Linked DNA regions of Neurospora crassa OR74A. The protein of the gene in region 2 interacts with the protein of the main gene of each other region in a pairwise test. Links are inferred from orthologs where the notes say so. Each region holds a gene or a part of one and is shown on either strand. Other genes may lie near its edges.

Region 1 (5,198 bases), on a different chromosome or scaffold from region 2:
AATAGAAAGGATGAGACGGATGAGGAGAGTAGTAGTAGTAGTGAGAGTAGTGGTAGTGATGCAGGTGGGAGTAGTGATAGTGATGATGATTATTTGATGAGTGAGAAGAAGAGGGCACTGGAGGTGATATTTTTGGAGGGAAAGTTGGCGAGGAAGAAGAGGAAAGGGAAGGGAAAGCAGGTGACGGCAGAGCAGGAGGCTCTTGAGAAGGAAGTGGCGGAGAAGTTGGCTGCCTTGAAGGAGATGCTTAAAGAGGGCAATGACGAGGAAAAGGCAGATGAGACGGTTACTGACGAAAAGAATACCACTCCTGAAAAGGAGAAACAGAAACCTGCTGCCCCTGAGGGCGAAGAGAAGCCCACCTCTTCTGCAGATGATGCCAGAGAAACTGGAGAGAAAATAACGAAACAAGAATCTAGCAGCACTACTGACAAGAAGAAGAAGCCCATGACGGCCAAAGAGAAGAAGCACAAGAAAAAGCAGAAGAGGAAAAGGATGTCGAAGACGTTCGCTGCCACTACACTTCATAACCTGGACTTGGTCCGGAGACAGTACGGTCGCAGACGGCCGTCTCCGTATGACCGAGAACGGGGCATTTCGCTATCAGGTTTACTCAACGCCATCGACGGCGTTGCCTCGCATGAAGGCCGCGTGCTCATCATGACAACCAACAAGCCAGAGAAGCTAGACGAAGCACTACTTCGACCGGGCAGGGTCGACATCCAGATTGCTTTCCTCAACGCCACGCAGGAACAAGTCAGGGAGCTATTTGAGAGGATGTACGAAGCCGATGTGGTGAACCCAGCCACAGTGACATTTACCCAGGTTGGGAATAAGGTCACAGCTAGCACCACATCGGCAGCTACTACATTGCCTCCAGTCGGTCATTCTCCTCACACGGGGGTTGCGTCCCCGGATGGCACCGGCACAGGCACCGGCACCACCGCTGAGAAGGATGAAGAAAAACAACAACAGCCCCCCATAGACCCCAAGATCGTTGATCTCAAACTCCTCGACGACAACAACCTCCGCAAGTCCTCCATCAGCAGTTGCTCTAGTGACGCAACCGTCATTGGCGAAGAGGACAACGCCGCTGCTCCTCCTCTTGTTCCCATCATCACCGCCGCCGCCGCGGCGACAGCCAAAGACAAGGGGAAACAACAAGAACCAGCAGAAGAAAAGACGGAAAGTCCCGTCCCTCTCCACATTACCCCCCTAACTAGACAAGAACTCCAAAAGATCGCCAGGGAGTTTTCCCTGAGAATCCCGGCATCCCAGATCCTCAGTCCGGCGGAGATCCAGGGCTTTCTGTTGAGGCGCAAGAAGGACCCCAGAAGGGCGTTGGCGGAGGTGGACAAGTGGGTGGAGGAGCTGGTCAAGGCGAAGGAGAGTAAGAGCAAGATTTTGGATGCTAAGGCTATTTGAAGTGTGGTGGTGGTTGAATGTTGGTTTGGTAGTTATGGGTTGTGGAAGAGAGCAAGGACGGCTGGTTGGGTGGTGGGGTGGGTTTGGATATTCAATGTTGCTGGTGCTCCTAGATCAGGTGAGTTGCAACAACAGGCAGCCATTTTCTTGCTTTGTTTCTCAATTGAAGAGGTGATCCAAAAGCGCTTGGTTAAGGTTAAGAGGAACTGCTGATCGTGCTAGCCTAAGATAATTTTTTTTGGTCAAGTCGGGTCAAACAAACAGTATGAAATATGATGGAGGATTATAGTTCAACCTACCTCATGTGAGCTGTGTATGGCAGCAATTTCCTTGGAGGTGTTTTGGAATCAGTCTGAATTACCTATTATTATTGACTTCTTCTTGAAGTGACCGACAGAGGGCAAAGAAACGTCCATTCGTATTTCGTGATATGCTGATGATGATTGCTTCTTCCTAACGCGGCCATGCCTCATGTATCCTCTCAAGCCTTCAAATCAGGCAGATGCCGCAATTGGGCCTTCACCACCGGGAATCAACTGAGCACAGCTGTTAGTTGTTTGTAAACGCGAGCTTTGATGACGATGATGACCCACCATGCAGATGTTGTTGCCGTTCAACAGGATCTTCTTCAACTTGGTGTGGTTGCCGGAGTAGTCGCTGATCGAGCAGGAGTGAAGTTAGTAATGTCCTTCATGAACTACTTCCAGAGTAGGACGCGTCGTACAACTCAGTGACGTCCTCCAAAACCATGTCTATTTGAAAGTGAGTTAGCATAAGGCTCCGTGGGACGATATGAAGACAGGGGATGGTGAGGAGAGGCCCGCTACTTACTAACGTAGTCATCGAAACCAACAAGAGTGCCAGCGAACTCTGTTTTCATTCCATCATCAGTCAGCACATCCATCGATAAGTCAAAATCCAGCAGGGACAGCTAGGATGGCATAACGTGCCCTTGTCTCCCTTCATGACAACCCAGATGCGGGAACCAACACACTTGTCGATGAGCTCTGGGGAAAAAAACCACGTTAGCTGTCTTATTCTTGGATACCTAAGTAGTGGTGCCCAGCATGAGCTCTCTCACTCACCGAGAGGAAGTAATTGCGAGGCCATGTTGTATGTGGTGTGGAATGGTCGAGTCTTTAGGTAAGTCTGGATGTCGAAAGGGACGTTCAGTGGCTGTTCACTGAGCTTCGATTGTGAGGCCAACAAGGCGACAGGGCGTACGTACTAAGCTGTTGTACAGTGAAAAAAGATCAGTAATTCCCACAGTATCAGCGTGGACTCGGATTCGTTCTTGGCGCAGCTTATGCTTGTACCCATGCATATGAGAATAAACGGGGTATCTACCTAGGCTTCAGCAGCAGCAACTCGGCAGCGGCTGGACGTCGTGACAGCGCTGCTGTTGCAGTGGCAACCGAATCAATTAGTTCACATCGACCCTTCCTTGTGAACAAAGCAAACAGTTCGTTTGTGATTTCAGTATTCGGAGGCAACCAAATACGTTCGCGTTTCTGCCTGCCAGCAGCCAACGTTGCCCGTGACAAGGTATTTCTCGGTCCAATATTTGTTCAACTTGAAGTTTCAACGTCCACTCCGTCTCCGACTTCTTCTCTTGGTTCCCCCACTTTGACCGAACCAACATTCATATCAGTGCCCTGAAACCACCAAACACCTTTTCGTCTCGTTCCCCTCTGTCAGCATTCAAACGAATCGACAGGTCATGGCGCAGTTCTCTGGGCCTTGACAACCTGCAACATTACTTACTACCTACCTACCTCTACCACGCATACCTCCCACGCACTCGGCAACTTTGTGATCTGCGCTTGCCATCCATCGCTATAATGAGGTCCCCGCACCCTATACCACAAGCCATCGGCGCCGGTGCCAACGCCGTAAACAGCACCACCAGCTTGACTCTGAGGCAATGCCGGCGGCGTTTCTTTGCTTCTTCGCCCTCATCCTCGGTTCCTTCCACATCCCGTTATCCAGTGTAGGTTCACTGGCTCTTCCAGGTCCTTACTACTTCTCCGTATATTTTTGGCTGACCAGGGTTTTACACAAATCAAGACATCTTGGCGCCATGGAGAGGAAAGATCAGACGTGGAATTCAAGCCGGGGCATTACGTTTGCTGGCGATAGTCGCGGCAGCGTTGGATACCCGCAACTGCCATCTTTGGCAAGATATCACAGCGACTCTGCGGTGTCAGCAGCCTCAAACCCGGAACCTGTTCTTCCGCCCAACCACGATGGTGTCTTCAACTCCACAGGTGTACCTCAGGGAAATCCTGACGCGAATGGAACGACGTTAGACTCCCAGGGGCAGGAGTTTGTTGATGCACAGGAAGGGCTGGAGGAACAGTTCCAACTCATACTCGAGGATGGGAACGTTGAGTCGAAAGATGAGGATGCTTCTCTCAAGCCTCCGTTTACACCACTCAGCTTCACCATGTCCGAGGATCTCTTCAAGGAGGCGAAGAAGGCGGCCGAGGGCACTCCAAAGTCTTACTGGACTTACAACCTCTATCGTGGGCCCGACAAGGATGGAAACATGAACGAGAAGGTCAAGGTCCATTACTGCAGAAGTGCGACCACCACTGAGAGGGTCTTGAAGCAGTACTTCATGGATGAGAAGATTCTCGGTCTTGACTTGGAATGGGAAATCAGCGCAAAGGAGAGCCACGGCCCGAGGCAAAACGTGTCGGTTATCCAGATTGCTTCGGAGAAGCGTATTGGAATCTTTCACATTTCGCTCTATCCGAGGAAGGATGAGCTTGCTTCTCCGTTACTCAAGCAAATCATCGAGGACGCCGATGTTGTCAAAGCCGGTGTCTGGATCATGGGCGACTGCACCCGTTTGAAAACGTTCCTCGGGATCGAAGCAAAGGGAATTTATGAGCTCTCTCACTTGTATAAGCTCGTCAAGTACTCTGCTTCCGGTGAGCACAAGCTTGTCAACAGACGCCTTGTCCCGTTGGCAACATTGGTAAAGGAGGTCCTCCAGTTGCCAATGTTCAAAGGAGCAGTCCGGACAAGTGAATGGTCCAAGCCCCTGAACATGGACCAAATCCTCTACTCAGGATCCGACGCCTACGCCGGCGTACAGCTCTTCGCCATGATGGACCACCAACGAAAGCAACTTAACCCCACTCCTCCCCTCCCGTACGCCGCCGAGCTCAAGCTGCCCATCAGGCTCGCCGCGGACGTCATCTTCGAAGAAGCCGGCTTATTAGACGAACAGTTTTCGGAAGTAACGGCCGCGCCTGACGCCACTCTATCAGCCAACTACCTCTCCACTGTGGGTGACAATATCAACGTCGAAATCGAAGGAGACGGGAGCACGACCCTCAGCGGCGAAGACGCTTTTGTCTCTGCCACCACCAAAACCGGCAAGAATGGCACAAGCAAGAAAACCACCGAACCCTCAACAACATCCACAAAACGCAAACGGACCTCCAAAGAATCCAACGAGTCCAAAGAGTCCAAAGTACCCAAACCAATCGACCCCCTCATCTCCGAAGCCACCCTCTGGGCCCAGAACTACCTCCTCTCCCATATCTCCCGCAAACAAACCTTTGCCCCCAAATCCCCCCTCTCCGTCGCCAACCTGCGCGCCTATTACCTCTGGTCTCGTAATCCGTCGATGAACTGCGAAGCTCTGGCCGCGTTGCTCGGCATCAAGACTAGCACGGCCGCACAATACATTCTGGTGGCTATTCAGAAGGAAAAGGGTAGGCTGTCGTTTGAGCCGAAGCGGATGAAGGAGGAGATTTTTG
Region 2 (6,120 bases):
CAATGGCTGAAGGCGAGCCACGGAAGGAAGCGACCCGGATCCCTCGTGAATCGCTGCTGCACGACAAGTCTTGAGATGTCCGGATCCCGGGGAGATGTCCGAGATGGAACTGCAGATGGCGAACACGGCCTCGGTGGTTGAAAGAGATAATTCAACCAGGAGAGAAGATGGCCAGGCTTGGATCCTGAAAAAGAAGTGAAGTTGAAAGAGGAAGAAGTTCCCTTGGAGGCGGGACGGGAGCCAAGTGTTGTTAGCTGTCAGGGTTCGAAGGCTCGGGCGCAGTCCTGCTAGGGCAGCCCACTGCAGCTTCGTATTGCCTGGTATTGTATGGATATAATGCGGAGGTTTGCTAGGCACATTAATTGGCACGTAGAGGTACAGAGGGGTGCCACGTCCGCGTATGCAAAGGGGTACCCGGGCCGTTGGTTGAGAAGAGTCTGGCACTTTTCTAGACTGTAAATACCCCTGGATACTTTGTTCTGATACTTGGGGACTTGGATATTAGAGGAATGTCTAGCATGGAGATGCTGGTATCTCAAGTGCTGTTCATGTTTCGGCCTCTTTAGAGGTAGTTAGGTGCGAACTAGCCTGTAATGAAAACATCCCAAAAGTGTCGGTATCTACCTACAACATCCTCAGCAACGTCCGCAAGTGGCCTAAATAATATCTACATACCTACCAGAAGCTATCGCATTCCCCGTTCCTGATGGTCGCTTGCGGTGCATTCCCCTGAGCACCTCAATGTTTCCGTCCGGCCAGGACCAAAAGATTGGCCGCGGGGGTAGGCGGCAGGGAAAGACATTAGGGTGCCCTCGGTGCCCCCACAGCTTCGTCGTCACCTGTATCCGCAGGTACCCCATTATTGCGGGCCGTGACGGTTCTAGCGTGGCCCTGTTAGTAAGGGACAAAAACCCCCTTGAGACGGGCGTCGTCAACTTCCAGGGGCACTACCTACCTCTACGACGACTTCAGTTCACATGTCGCATCCGTCAACGGAGGGGTATGTCTTGAGCTTCTTGATCCTTTTACCACGCTGAGAAGTGGCTGATTAGCTCATACTATGATACTTGGGTTAATATGATCTGCTGCCGGCCTGCTCCCTCCGCATTGCTCCTCCGATCGGAGTAGTTCTTCAAGATGGCGAAGAACACCGACTTGAGTGATGGCCATGATACCTCCCTCTCAAAAGAAACAACAGGGAAATACCAGGCCCCTGATATAATTCAAGTTCGACTGCATACTATGTACAGTAAAGTCACCTGTCAAGAAAACAGCCTTAAGATAGCCATGCCATGTTTGCCTCTGTCCATGTCCGCGCTTCCGCTTCACCTGCATCGGAATGGCGAATTCACATACTTAGAAGCACAGTCTAAACAGCTGCGTTTAGTCACGGATGTCACGGCAGCAAAATGGATGCCTGAGCTACTGTCCTTGCCCTTCAGCTTTCTTGCCAAAATCGATATCTCGAGCTTGAAATTTGGTTGTCGGCTTGGCGTTAAATGTTGACCATGAGGTTGCCGTCCCGTCCGGGTCTCATGTTGTAGCCTCCAGTTGATCACTGTTACGCATCACAACTAGCGGGCGGGTATCGCCGATTGGCTCATCGGATAAAACAACTTGCAAGACTGGAAGGATGGAATGGACATTCTTGCCGGCGGTTGAGGATCCCACAGCCCGGCAGGCAATGGGCCTCTGGTTGCCGCCCAACCGTGGCAATCACTCCCCCGGCCGCGGCCTTGGAAGTCCCATCGTCAGTCAACGAACGGCAAGACAGGAGGGTGGTGTGTCAAAGCGTCAGGCCTACCGCCGCCCGCCCACCTGTTGCCAGGCTCCATTGGCCCTCGGGGGCGATTGGTCCACAGCTCCCTGATCTGGCTTCTGAGTTGGAGTTGGCCTGACTTCATCCATCTGCGTCGGTCTCTTGTCGCCTTTTGCGCTGCCATCAAGCTACCACTCCGAGCAACCGCATCCACATCTTCACCGCGGCGCACCCAGTTGCGCTTCCGGTCGTTAGTTCACAGCCTTCTTTGCTTCTCTGTTTTAATATTTCCAAGCCGAGCGCTGAGTATTTGTTGCCGCCCTGACAAGCTCTGCTCCGCTCCTTTGCACGAGTCGCACCGCCGTCGACACGTCTCCTTTCCCTTCACGTCGCGCATCGCAGCATCATGGTGCTTGACCAAACCGATCATACCAACATCTTTACATATCGTTCTGTACGTTGTTCTTTGATTTCTCTACAGCGTGCTTGCAACCTCGGTATGGCAAGGTCATGGGATGAAAGTTGGGCTCCCATGTCCCAATTCTCCATCTTCCATGTCGTTGTTGTTGCCCCGCGCTTCAAGAGACAGCTCACCACCCCCAGCTAGGTGGAACATCCATCGAGTCGCCCCTCTGCTTGGCTCGGGCTGTTTGACCACTGGACCTTCAAGCCCTTCCTGTTTCCCCTTCCACCCAGAACTTCGTGAACCTGCGTCACGGCTGTTCCTTCTTTATACTTCTCGTCCCACTCACCAACCAGGGTCTCGTCTTTTGCTTTGCCCCTCATTTTCCTCTGTGCCCTTGCCAATCAGCCAAAGCTCAACATCGCACCCGGATTTGCGCCGCAACGATCTTTCTTCGCTCAACGTATACTGACCCTACAATAGTGATACCTCTGTAGAAATTTTCCATAAACCCAACAGGCATCGCCAATATGTCTTTCTTCAACTTCGACCAGTCTCGCCATAATACCGCCGCTCCCGGCTTCTCCCAGGCTCACGATCCCTTTGCCAGCCTAGCCAACCGGGACGAGGAAGCCGAAGAGATCGACTTCGAGGACACTTATGACGGCTTGGGTGACCAGCTGGATGAGACCGACGATGCCTTCAATGATGATACTTTTGGCGGCGATACTGGCGAGCCGGGTCCTGTAGGCAAAGACTTTGACTTCTTTGGCCACACCGCCAAGGTCGCGAACGTCATTGAAGAGGAAAATGTTCGTTTCAACCGCCAACAACCAGCTGCCAAGGCTCCCCAGCCTGTCGCGCAGCCATCGGCCTATACGCCCATCGCCGGACCCTCGTACAACTATTTCGCGCAGGCTCCAGTTAGACCTGCCAGGACCGGCTACGAAAAATACCACGAGCAGCCGATCGAGGATCTTCAGGTTGACGCTGCTCTCTGGGGTGTCGCACCCAAGAAGCAACCGCCGCCGCCTGCTCAACCTGCCGTCCCTAGCGCGCCGTCTGGGGGCCGCAAGATGCTGAGTCTTGAGGAGGTTGAGGCTCAGATGCGCGCCCAGGCTAAGGCGGCCACCCCATCTCCCGCTCCTCAGCATCAGCCCCATCAAATTCCACATGAACAGGCTTACCTCTACCAGCACCAAGCTCAGAACCAGCCGCAGGCTCACTTCCAAGCCGGTGTCGTTGAACCTCTGTACCATCAACCGCAGGGACATCCCATGACAATTCTTCAGCGGCCTCACTCGAAGCCTCCTACGCCAGCCCAGCCCTCTTCCCAACCGCCCGCTATTCAACAGCATCAGCAACCCGCTGTTCCTCAGCAGCCTACTCAGATCCTGCAGAACCCCAACCGTCTTTCAGGCGACGCGGCTAAGATCGGGCTGCCTGTTCACCCTACGCCTCCGTCCGGTCCTCAGTCCGCTCACCAGGGCCACAGGCAACAAGGCTCTCTTCCGCGACAGCCCCCTATGATTCTTCATCCTGCCCAGCTGGCTCAGCTCTCGGAGGAGGAAAAGGCTGCGTATCTTGAACAGGAAGCTAAGCGCGCCAAGCGCAACCACAAGATCTTCCAAATGTCTCGCGACAATGGTATCATGACGCCACAGGACAAGAATTTCATCACCCGGATCCAGCTTCAGCAGCTTGTCGCAGCCACTGGAAATCCCAATGAACACGGCACAGACGAGTCACTCGCCGAGGACTTTTACTATCAAGTCCATAGTCAGATCCAGGCTGGCCATCGCCAGCACCCCAGCCAGCCTCTGAACCAGTTCGCTCAGACTTATCTGTTTCAGACAGGAAGCCGTCAAGGAGGTATGCGCCGCCATAACAGGGGTCCTGAAAACCATATGCAGAGGATGGAACAACAGGTCCAGCGTGCTGTTGAGGCGGCCAAGAACAAGCCCAAGAATAAGCAGCTTGTTATTGAAGGTAGCTTGGGCAAGATTTCCTTCAGCAACGCCAAGACCCCGAAGCCGCTTCTCAACATCAAGCGTAACGACAGCGCCAGCGATGTGAAGAAGGCACCGCATCCTGTTAATGGCCGGGACAAGAAGGACGAACTGAGGGCCCTCGAGCTGGTATACACTACACTTATGAAGATGGAAGACCACGAACGCAACATGCCTATGGCGCCTGCCGAGGACGATCAAGAAGCTCTTGCCAAGGTCTTTGCATGGAGTAACGAGGGACAGGCGTTGAATGAGCAGCTTTGGAAGGCTCTGAGGGTGCAGGATCACGACCAGCCAGGCCGCATCCACCCCTTCATGGCCCTTCTCAGTTACAGTAAGGGCAAGAAAGCCATACCGCGCATCTTCCGTCACACGAACCACGAGCAAAGAATTACCATTTTCACACGCATTGTCGTGAATCTCGACCAACTCGACGTTGTCCGAGAAGCTCAGGTTACAACTGATGACATCCAGTTCAACGCCGCTATGCGTGAAAACATTGAGCTGTTCTCGGCTGCTATAGTAACCACGCTGTTCACGTTTATGAACGAACTCGGCCTCGATCTTGTTGCCGCCATCCTTGGTCTTGTGTGCACGCGCAACGTGGACGTCATCGCCAAGAGCAGAATTGGCGCGTCGATGCTTACCATGATTCTCAGTCGGGCGGAGCTTATCAAGCACAATGGCGGAGGCAGTGAACAGGATTGGCGTTCTTGGTAAGTTCCTCTATATTCATGGTATCATGAGACATGAACCAAATGCTAACTGTCTCTACAGGGACATGACCTACACTCAGTTCTTCAACATCCTCGAGCCCACTCTTCCGTACATTTTCCCCGGTAGCATTGCCACCGATCAGGATACCTACGTCTGGCAGCTTCTCGCCGCTATCGGTATCGGTGCCAGCCCTGACCAGCAGCAAAGACTTGTCATTGCTGTCAAGGATCGTGTCATGGACACCGTCAGCCTCGCCAAGACGTTGCCTCCAGCACTCGCAGCCGACCGTCTGCAGAACGTCAACCTCTTCATGCGGTCGATCGGCCTCGACGTTGAGCTGCTCCAGTAAGCAACTCGGCAATAACCCTACACACATTGACTTTGAAAGTCCGTTGCAAAAACTATCTGGGCGGGTGGTTTAAGCAACGACGATCATCATCATCATTATCGAAAAAAAGGAAAAGTTGCGTTGGTTGCATCGCGTTCGGTCAGCGATTGTTCTTGAAGAGTCCCTTGCATATATCGAGAGACTCGCTCATACTTTTAAGGCGGATCAAAAAAAGCAGCTTGGTGGAGGAACAGGAACCATGTATATGGGCCATTTCACAAGGAATTGTTTACCTTAATAAACATTTTGGCTTACCTACTACTGAAAGGTAAACTCCTGGGGCGGGAAGCAGGAGGAGTTTCTTCTTACCTACATTGCATCGCTGGGGAAAAGAAAAGAACTTGGCGGTTGGTTTCTATATAACTCGGCATTGCTGTATGGATGGATGGATGGATGGATGGATGGAGACAACTGTAGAATAGGGACCAAAAAAGCGGTCGGTCGGGTTGGGTTTTGCGAGGTCAAACATCATTGATCATTGTTCGCCACACCTGTCACCATAACGGTCTGTTTTCAGGAGAAAGCCTGCGAGGAAGAAGGCGGGAAAGAATGGGAGTCAGTCGTAGGGTATCGTATTTTTCTTAAAGATGAGAAGAGAATCTATCAGTTAACCAAAGGGTAGTAGCCGCTGACCCTCTATATTGGGGCTCCCGCTTGGAAAGGCTCACATATGATATGTGCTCAGCTTTCGCTCCCACTCCCTTTGCCTTTACCGCTTCAAGCGTGAGGTCCTTCTCTTATCGCCGACAGTCTCTGACTCCTAGTCAAGCTGCATGGCATTCGACGAAGAAGATGTTGCCGCTGCTACCGCCTTTCCCTTTCCCTTGCTGTTAACAACCTTGTT
Region 3 (5,433 bases), on a different chromosome or scaffold from region 2:
AGCGAGGTATCAAAGCTTCTTTCCATAGCAACATCCTTACACGTGCGAAAGACATACACCAAGAATAAAAAAAAATGGGCAGATACTGACCCTAACCACAGTCGCGGCGAACTGTTACCATCGATCATCGCAAGGACCGTTGCATGCCTTGAGCTTCGGAAAACTGCCATACCTGTTTGAGTTCAGTTGCCGGCGGTTTTTGACAATGGGACCGGCTGAAAGGATCCGTTTGGATATGGATTCTCTCCATAAACACATCTCCACACAGCCTCCATCCGGTGGAGCATGGGACGTTTCGAATCGCGGGTGGACGGCACTCCCGGTCTCGCTAGAGCAGCCACGCACATGGCAAACAACTCCTCTTACCCATGGGGCTGTTCATCTCCGAGGCTTCCTTTGTGCGGGACTATCCGTACAGCTGTCGTTGGGTGGTCCATCGTTCATGTTTGAAAACACATGTTGCACCGGGATGGTGGAAGATTCATCTCGAGGTTCTCCCACCGAGCTTCTTCGTTCACAACGACGCCAATGCACCCCGCAATCAACGACCTTGGGGACAACGGCGACCGGAGACAATGAGAAATAGCTAAATGTCTTTTATGTGTCCAACTTTACCTTCTCCCGGACAGCTATTCCCCTCACTTTCCCCCAGACAATCGGGTGGACAGGCCAATAATGGCTTCACCATGTCGACGATCCATGATTTGCCCTAGGGTGGTGCCCGATTAGATGAGGATGAGGAGAAGGGCCCGCCAAGATTAAGTAACTTGCCCCAAGCAAGTTGAAACTGCGCCGATAAGTATATCATAAAGGTTTGCCTAGGACAATGACCGTGAGATAGCCCAAGTGAGCTTGCACCCGGAATTGTGGCATCTTACCCTCCTTCTTCTTTCTTGCGTTTGCAGACCTTCAAGCCCTACGCCACGCCCTCGACATGGGGCTGGTACAACTTCAGTTTACCCACCACGCCCAACCATACATTCATGGACGACTTCACAGATTTATAGTGGTGGACTTACGAAAGACCTAGTGATGGCCTACAGCCAGCCCAACCCAGCCCACAACGACATCTCCCAGCGGCTTATACAGAACCCTCAGTGGATCAACGTGAGGTACATTGGATTTCCCTATTCCGACCGAAACAAGTTCAACCCCCCCTTTGTTGGCATGTGGAACGCAACCCCCGCAGCAGGTGGTTGAGTACTTGCTGCATATCATCTTTCAGTTTGATGATGCTGGGTAATCGGTTGGTTGGTCATGAGTGCCAACGCCTCATTTCCCGAGCTCGGCGTAGTTATCGATGATGGCGGGTGGGTGGGAGGATGTTGAAGTCGATGGGTTTGTGCCGGCTATGTGACTAGTCCTAGGAAAGAATGTTAGTCGTGGATATCTCTCTGGGCTATCCTTTCCCAACATGATCATAGTCAGTAGTGGCCAGGTTCGATTCGAGGCAATCCATCGAATTGCTAATTTTCTAACGGTAAAATACACTTGGTGTCTTCTTGGGCCGACCTTGGTGTAAGGCTTCATGCGGTCTTCCATTCGTATGAAGTCGCAGCTGAGTGGATAGCATTTCACAATATTCTGCTTCCAATCGCTCATGCCATTCCCTCCTTCGACACTCCCTTTCCACTTCAGGGGTATGTAGGTATAAATCATAACAAGTTAAAGTTTTGGTCGTCTCTCCTCCCGTCTCTTTCTTTCCGTCCCATTTGTAAAATTTGAGGGTGATTCATATATCATTCACAGAAGCGCCTCGCCTACGTTCTCCCCTTCGAAGCCAATGGTGGAAAGCTTCTTGATCTTGCGCTTCTCCTTGGCCTTCTCCTCGGCCTTTTTCTGCTTGGCTAGTGTCTGCACCAGTTCGAGGTCGGCAGGGTCGTAGCCCGGGGGCGGGTCGTCGTCGCGGTCAAGGTCGATCTCGCCCATGAGGAGAACGTTCTCGCCGCGAACAACGAAGAGGCCCCGGTCGACGTCGGCGTAGAGCCCCCTGGTCTGGGTGGGTGACTGCGTGCCTGGAGGCACGAATATCCTCTCCTTTGTCTGTTGTAGTACTAGGTTGGCTAGTATGGTGGGAAAAAAGTGGATTCGCGTTAACACAGCTACCTCTTCATACTCGTGCTCGTTCGTGCGTGCGTGTATAGGTGGTCATGTGTTGTAAGAGAGAGGTAGGTTCATGGAGGCATACCAAACTGATCCCAACTGCGGAGGATGCCCGTGAGCTTTCGTCCGTCGCGCAATGCTACCATTAGCTTCTCTGTTGGTACCCCGCCGCTCGTGTCAGCCTAGTTCCTCCCGTCCAAAAGATATGTCCACAATATTGCTTCTTACTATCGGTCAGGTCGAGGAGTTGGGCAGCTGTGGTGAACATTTGCGCGGGCAACTGCTGGGGCTGGGGAGGACGGCCGCCTCCTAGGAGTCCCGGCGGGGGCATGCCGGGTCCAGGCTGGCCGGGGCCCTGAGGGAAGGGCGGCGGTGGGGGTTGATCGTTTATCGAGAGGTGTTCCATGGTTGTGTGCTGAAGATGGCCTATGTCTTCTAGTCCATCTGTAAAGTTTCGGGGGGTGTCTTCAAGGTTGTTGAATGGGAAGCGGGATGCAATGATGCGATGGGACAGCTGCCCGCCCTGACGTTGCCTGCCCGCACATACTACTACCTACCTACTGCGTACATACCTACCTTAGTACATAGCTGCTGCCCTGGGCTGCCCTGGGCTTGCTCCGCTGTTTGTGCAGTTCACCCCACTTTCACGGTGAGAGGCAGCGACGAGAAGTGTGTTCCTTGAAGGACAGCCCGAGTCGCACAGATCTTTTTACCACTCTACTTACACGGCTCCTGCCATAAGCTTTTAGTGGATGATTCCAGCTTCCTTCCGGCAGGCAATTTGCGTATATGTACATGATACAAGTCAGCCACATCGCAGGTTGAGCCACAAGACGGAGCGAATCTCAGCTTTATCCACTTCAGCAATCAGCTCGGCTCATACAAACCTATCGCTGCTTCCTGCGGCAGACTGCTCTCGCTTAGGTACAGCGCCTGTGCGGTGGAGCTTCCATGATCACCGGACTGTATGTCTAGTCAGTAAACACTGCCAGGGCAAGGTGAAACCAAGCGCTGTGCAGCAACCTACAGTATTATTCAACCCGGTGGCCGGACAATGAGCCGACGGGACCTGCACTGACCTCCCTGTGCTGGTTTGCCTGTACCTACCTAGGTAGTGCCGCACTGCATTCTCCGGTCCTTCTGCTTCGGCTCAACCTGCTGTCAACCCCATTTCATTCTGCCACTCCATATTTCTCCATCTGCACCATACGTACCCTCGCTGTCGACAATTATACACAAAAGATCCCATGAGGACTATGTCCAAACCCGCTTCGACCACCAGAAGCCGTTCCTTTTCTCTCGCCCTTGCGCTGTAACCATTCTGCGCGCCCGTCCATCGGCGGACGAGGGCAGCTCTCTTCCCGTCGTCCAGTCGACTTTGACTTACTCGTCCTCTAGCCTCAAATCTCTGCACTGGGGCTCTCTTTTTTCCGCCCACCAGCCTCGCCTTGAGGTTTGCCTCGCCTGGTCTTACCTGGTCCGGATACAATAAAAAAGCAGGCAACCAAGAAACATATTTACGAGGACCCCCCTTTCGCCATGGCTTCTACCGACGTTACCATGGCCGACGCACCTTCCGGGCGGCCTGATCGCCGCTCCAACGCTTCTCCTCCTCCCGGTCAGTCACAGTCACAGTCTAAGAGAGACAAGCGACGCCAAATGCTTGCCGAACGCATTGCAACCCTTTCCGACAAATGGAGCAAGGACAGAGACCAGGCCTTTCGCGAACAACTACAAAAGATTCAGATTGACACCAGTCTGGTCATGCGAGTCGACCCCTATGTCGATCGACCTTTGGACAGCTTCGAAGAGGATCAGAGACGACTCAACCAGCTCAATGGCGCCGACTCCGACGGTGGTCCACGATCCCTCCTTGACATGGCTGGCCCCAAATTTGCCAAGTGGATGGAGAACGTACAGGATCTTGCAGAGCAACGCGATTATGCTCTCACCAAATTTAAAGTACGTCTCCCGATCATAACCGTTCAACGCTCCGCCAGTCAAAGTGCCAATGCTGACTCTTGGTTCCGCAGTTTGACTACGAGAAGAAGATCGCCGAATACCTCAATACGCATGCCTATAAGACGGAGCTTGCGAACAGAGAACACAAGGCGCTTGCCTCGACCCTCCGCGACCGACTGATCAACATCATCACTTCGAAAAAATACCGGCTCAACAAGGAGAAGGAGGCCCTCGAGATTGCCGATGCGTCCGCACTCCTCTTACACCCCAACCAATTCAGCATCACAAACCCAGCCAGCCCCGGAGGCACACACGGCAAGCGGGCCACCCGCCTGCGGAGAGAAATGGAGGAGATGAACGGCATGGACAGCAAGAAAAGAAAGCGCAACATGAATGATGACGACGGTTCTCCAGCGCCACAGCGCCGTGCACTCGACCCCAACAGCACTACACCCCTATGGCAGACCGACCGTCTGGTCCAACGCAAGACCACCGGCCCCATCTACAGCATTGACAAGCTGTTCACGGACAAGGAATTGTCAATGACCTACAACCAGTCGGCCTTGGCTGCGCACAAATACATTCTTACCCATAAGCCACGGTTTGACGACTATGGGCGCCCTATCTCGTCACCCGAGGGTAGTGTTTCCGGTAGCGGCGACCCTGATGATCTCGACTCGGAGTCGGCTCCGTCGGCGCCGATGATGGAGAGGAACGTTTCGCACGCTACTCGCAGCAACAAAAGTGGGGCTAACAATCCCAACTTTGACGACAAACTCATGGGCTTGGAGATGCTCGCTAACTTCGACTTCCCCGGTAACCTTGAGCGTTTGACTAGCAGTCAGGACCCTAAGCAGCCTCCTGCCTTCCCGTCACAATACGTCAAGGGCCATGCAAAGCAGTCTGAGTTTAACACACCGGCAGCACTGGCTAATGACGACGTGACCGGGGACTTGATGGTTATGCATGCCCTGAAGCAGTACGACCAGCTTAACGGCATGGGCGCCAATCTACAGACTGAGCATGGAAGCATGAAGCTTCTCCAATCGGTGTCGCTCCCGGTCAAGGACCGCAGATTTGTGTCATTTGTCCAGGGCGAGCGGCCGTCGGAGAACGAACTCAGGCAGCGCCTTGGTCTTCCCCCGATCAAGGAGCCTGTCGAGCCCGAAAGATCTGAGCCAATCAATGGTCTCGGTATCGGCACCCCGTCAAAGGGCGGCCGCTCGGGTACTCCGTCTCATCACCAGTCTCCTGCTAAGGCGCTTGGGGGTGTCTCTATGAGCAGACAGTCTAGCGCCAACGGCGGCGTGGCGATGAGCCGGACCAGCAGCAGAAAGGGACGCGGCGGCCGCGGTGGCTGAACAGGAC

The links. The genes of interacting proteins can lie anywhere in the genome.
Region 1: the proteins of NCU06540 (region 2) and NCU03766 interact in binary tests that used the Saccharomyces cerevisiae proteins (3 or more experiments, as listed by UniProt). The link is inferred for Neurospora crassa OR74A from reciprocal best matches to the Saccharomyces cerevisiae genes PAT1 and LSM5.
Region 3: the proteins of NCU06540 (region 2) and NCU01601 interact in binary tests that used the Saccharomyces cerevisiae proteins (3 or more experiments, as listed by UniProt). The link is inferred for Neurospora crassa OR74A from reciprocal best matches to the Saccharomyces cerevisiae genes PAT1 and LSM1.

The regions. Positions count from the first base shown.
Region 1 is NC_026505.1:2,343,874-2,349,071, reverse strand, and holds NCU03766 (small nuclear ribonucleoprotein), read right to left. Parts: upstream 2,650-5,198; 5' UTR 2,536-2,649; coding exon 2,511-2,535; intron 2,433-2,510; coding exon 2,376-2,432; intron 2,296-2,375; coding exon 2,257-2,295; intron 2,178-2,256; coding exon 2,150-2,177; intron 2,083-2,149; coding exon 2,019-2,082; intron 1,962-2,018; coding exon 1,920-1,961; 3' UTR 1,725-1,919; intron 1,649-1,724; 3' UTR 1,440-1,648; downstream 1-1,439. Other genes in the region: NCU03767 (mitochondrial chaperone bcs1), read left to right, coding at 1-1,425; NCU03765 (3'-5' exonuclease/helicase), read left to right, coding at 3,267-3,415, 3,493-5,198. UniProt on the Saccharomyces cerevisiae protein: Component of LSm protein complexes, which are involved in RNA processing and may function in a chaperone-like manner. Component of the cytoplasmic LSM1-LSM7 complex which is involved in mRNA degradation by activating the decapping step.
Region 2 is NC_026504.1:1,576,635-1,582,754, reverse strand, and holds NCU06540 (topisomerase II associated protein), read left to right. Parts: upstream 1-1,856; 5' UTR 1,857-2,213; intron 2,214-2,645; 5' UTR 2,646-2,692; coding exon 2,693-4,887; intron 4,888-4,948; coding exon 4,949-5,237; 3' UTR 5,238-6,036; downstream 6,037-6,120. Other genes in the region: NCU06539 (hypothetical protein), read right to left, coding at 6,037-6,120. UniProt on the Saccharomyces cerevisiae protein: Activator of decapping that functions as a general and active mechanism of translational repression and required for P-body formation. First decay factor recruited to mRNA, at a time when the mRNA is still associated with translation factors.
Region 3 is NC_026502.1:2,980,045-2,985,477, forward strand, and holds NCU01601 (hypothetical protein), read right to left. Parts: upstream 2,774-5,433; 5' UTR 2,510-2,773; coding exon 2,332-2,509; intron 2,258-2,331; coding exon 2,189-2,257; intron 2,064-2,188; coding exon 1,744-2,063; 3' UTR 1,440-1,743; downstream 1-1,439. Other genes in the region: NCU01599 (hypothetical protein), read left to right, coding at 3,643-4,065, 4,137-5,426. UniProt on the Saccharomyces cerevisiae protein: Component of the cytoplasmic LSM1-LSM7 complex which is involved in mRNA degradation by activating the decapping step.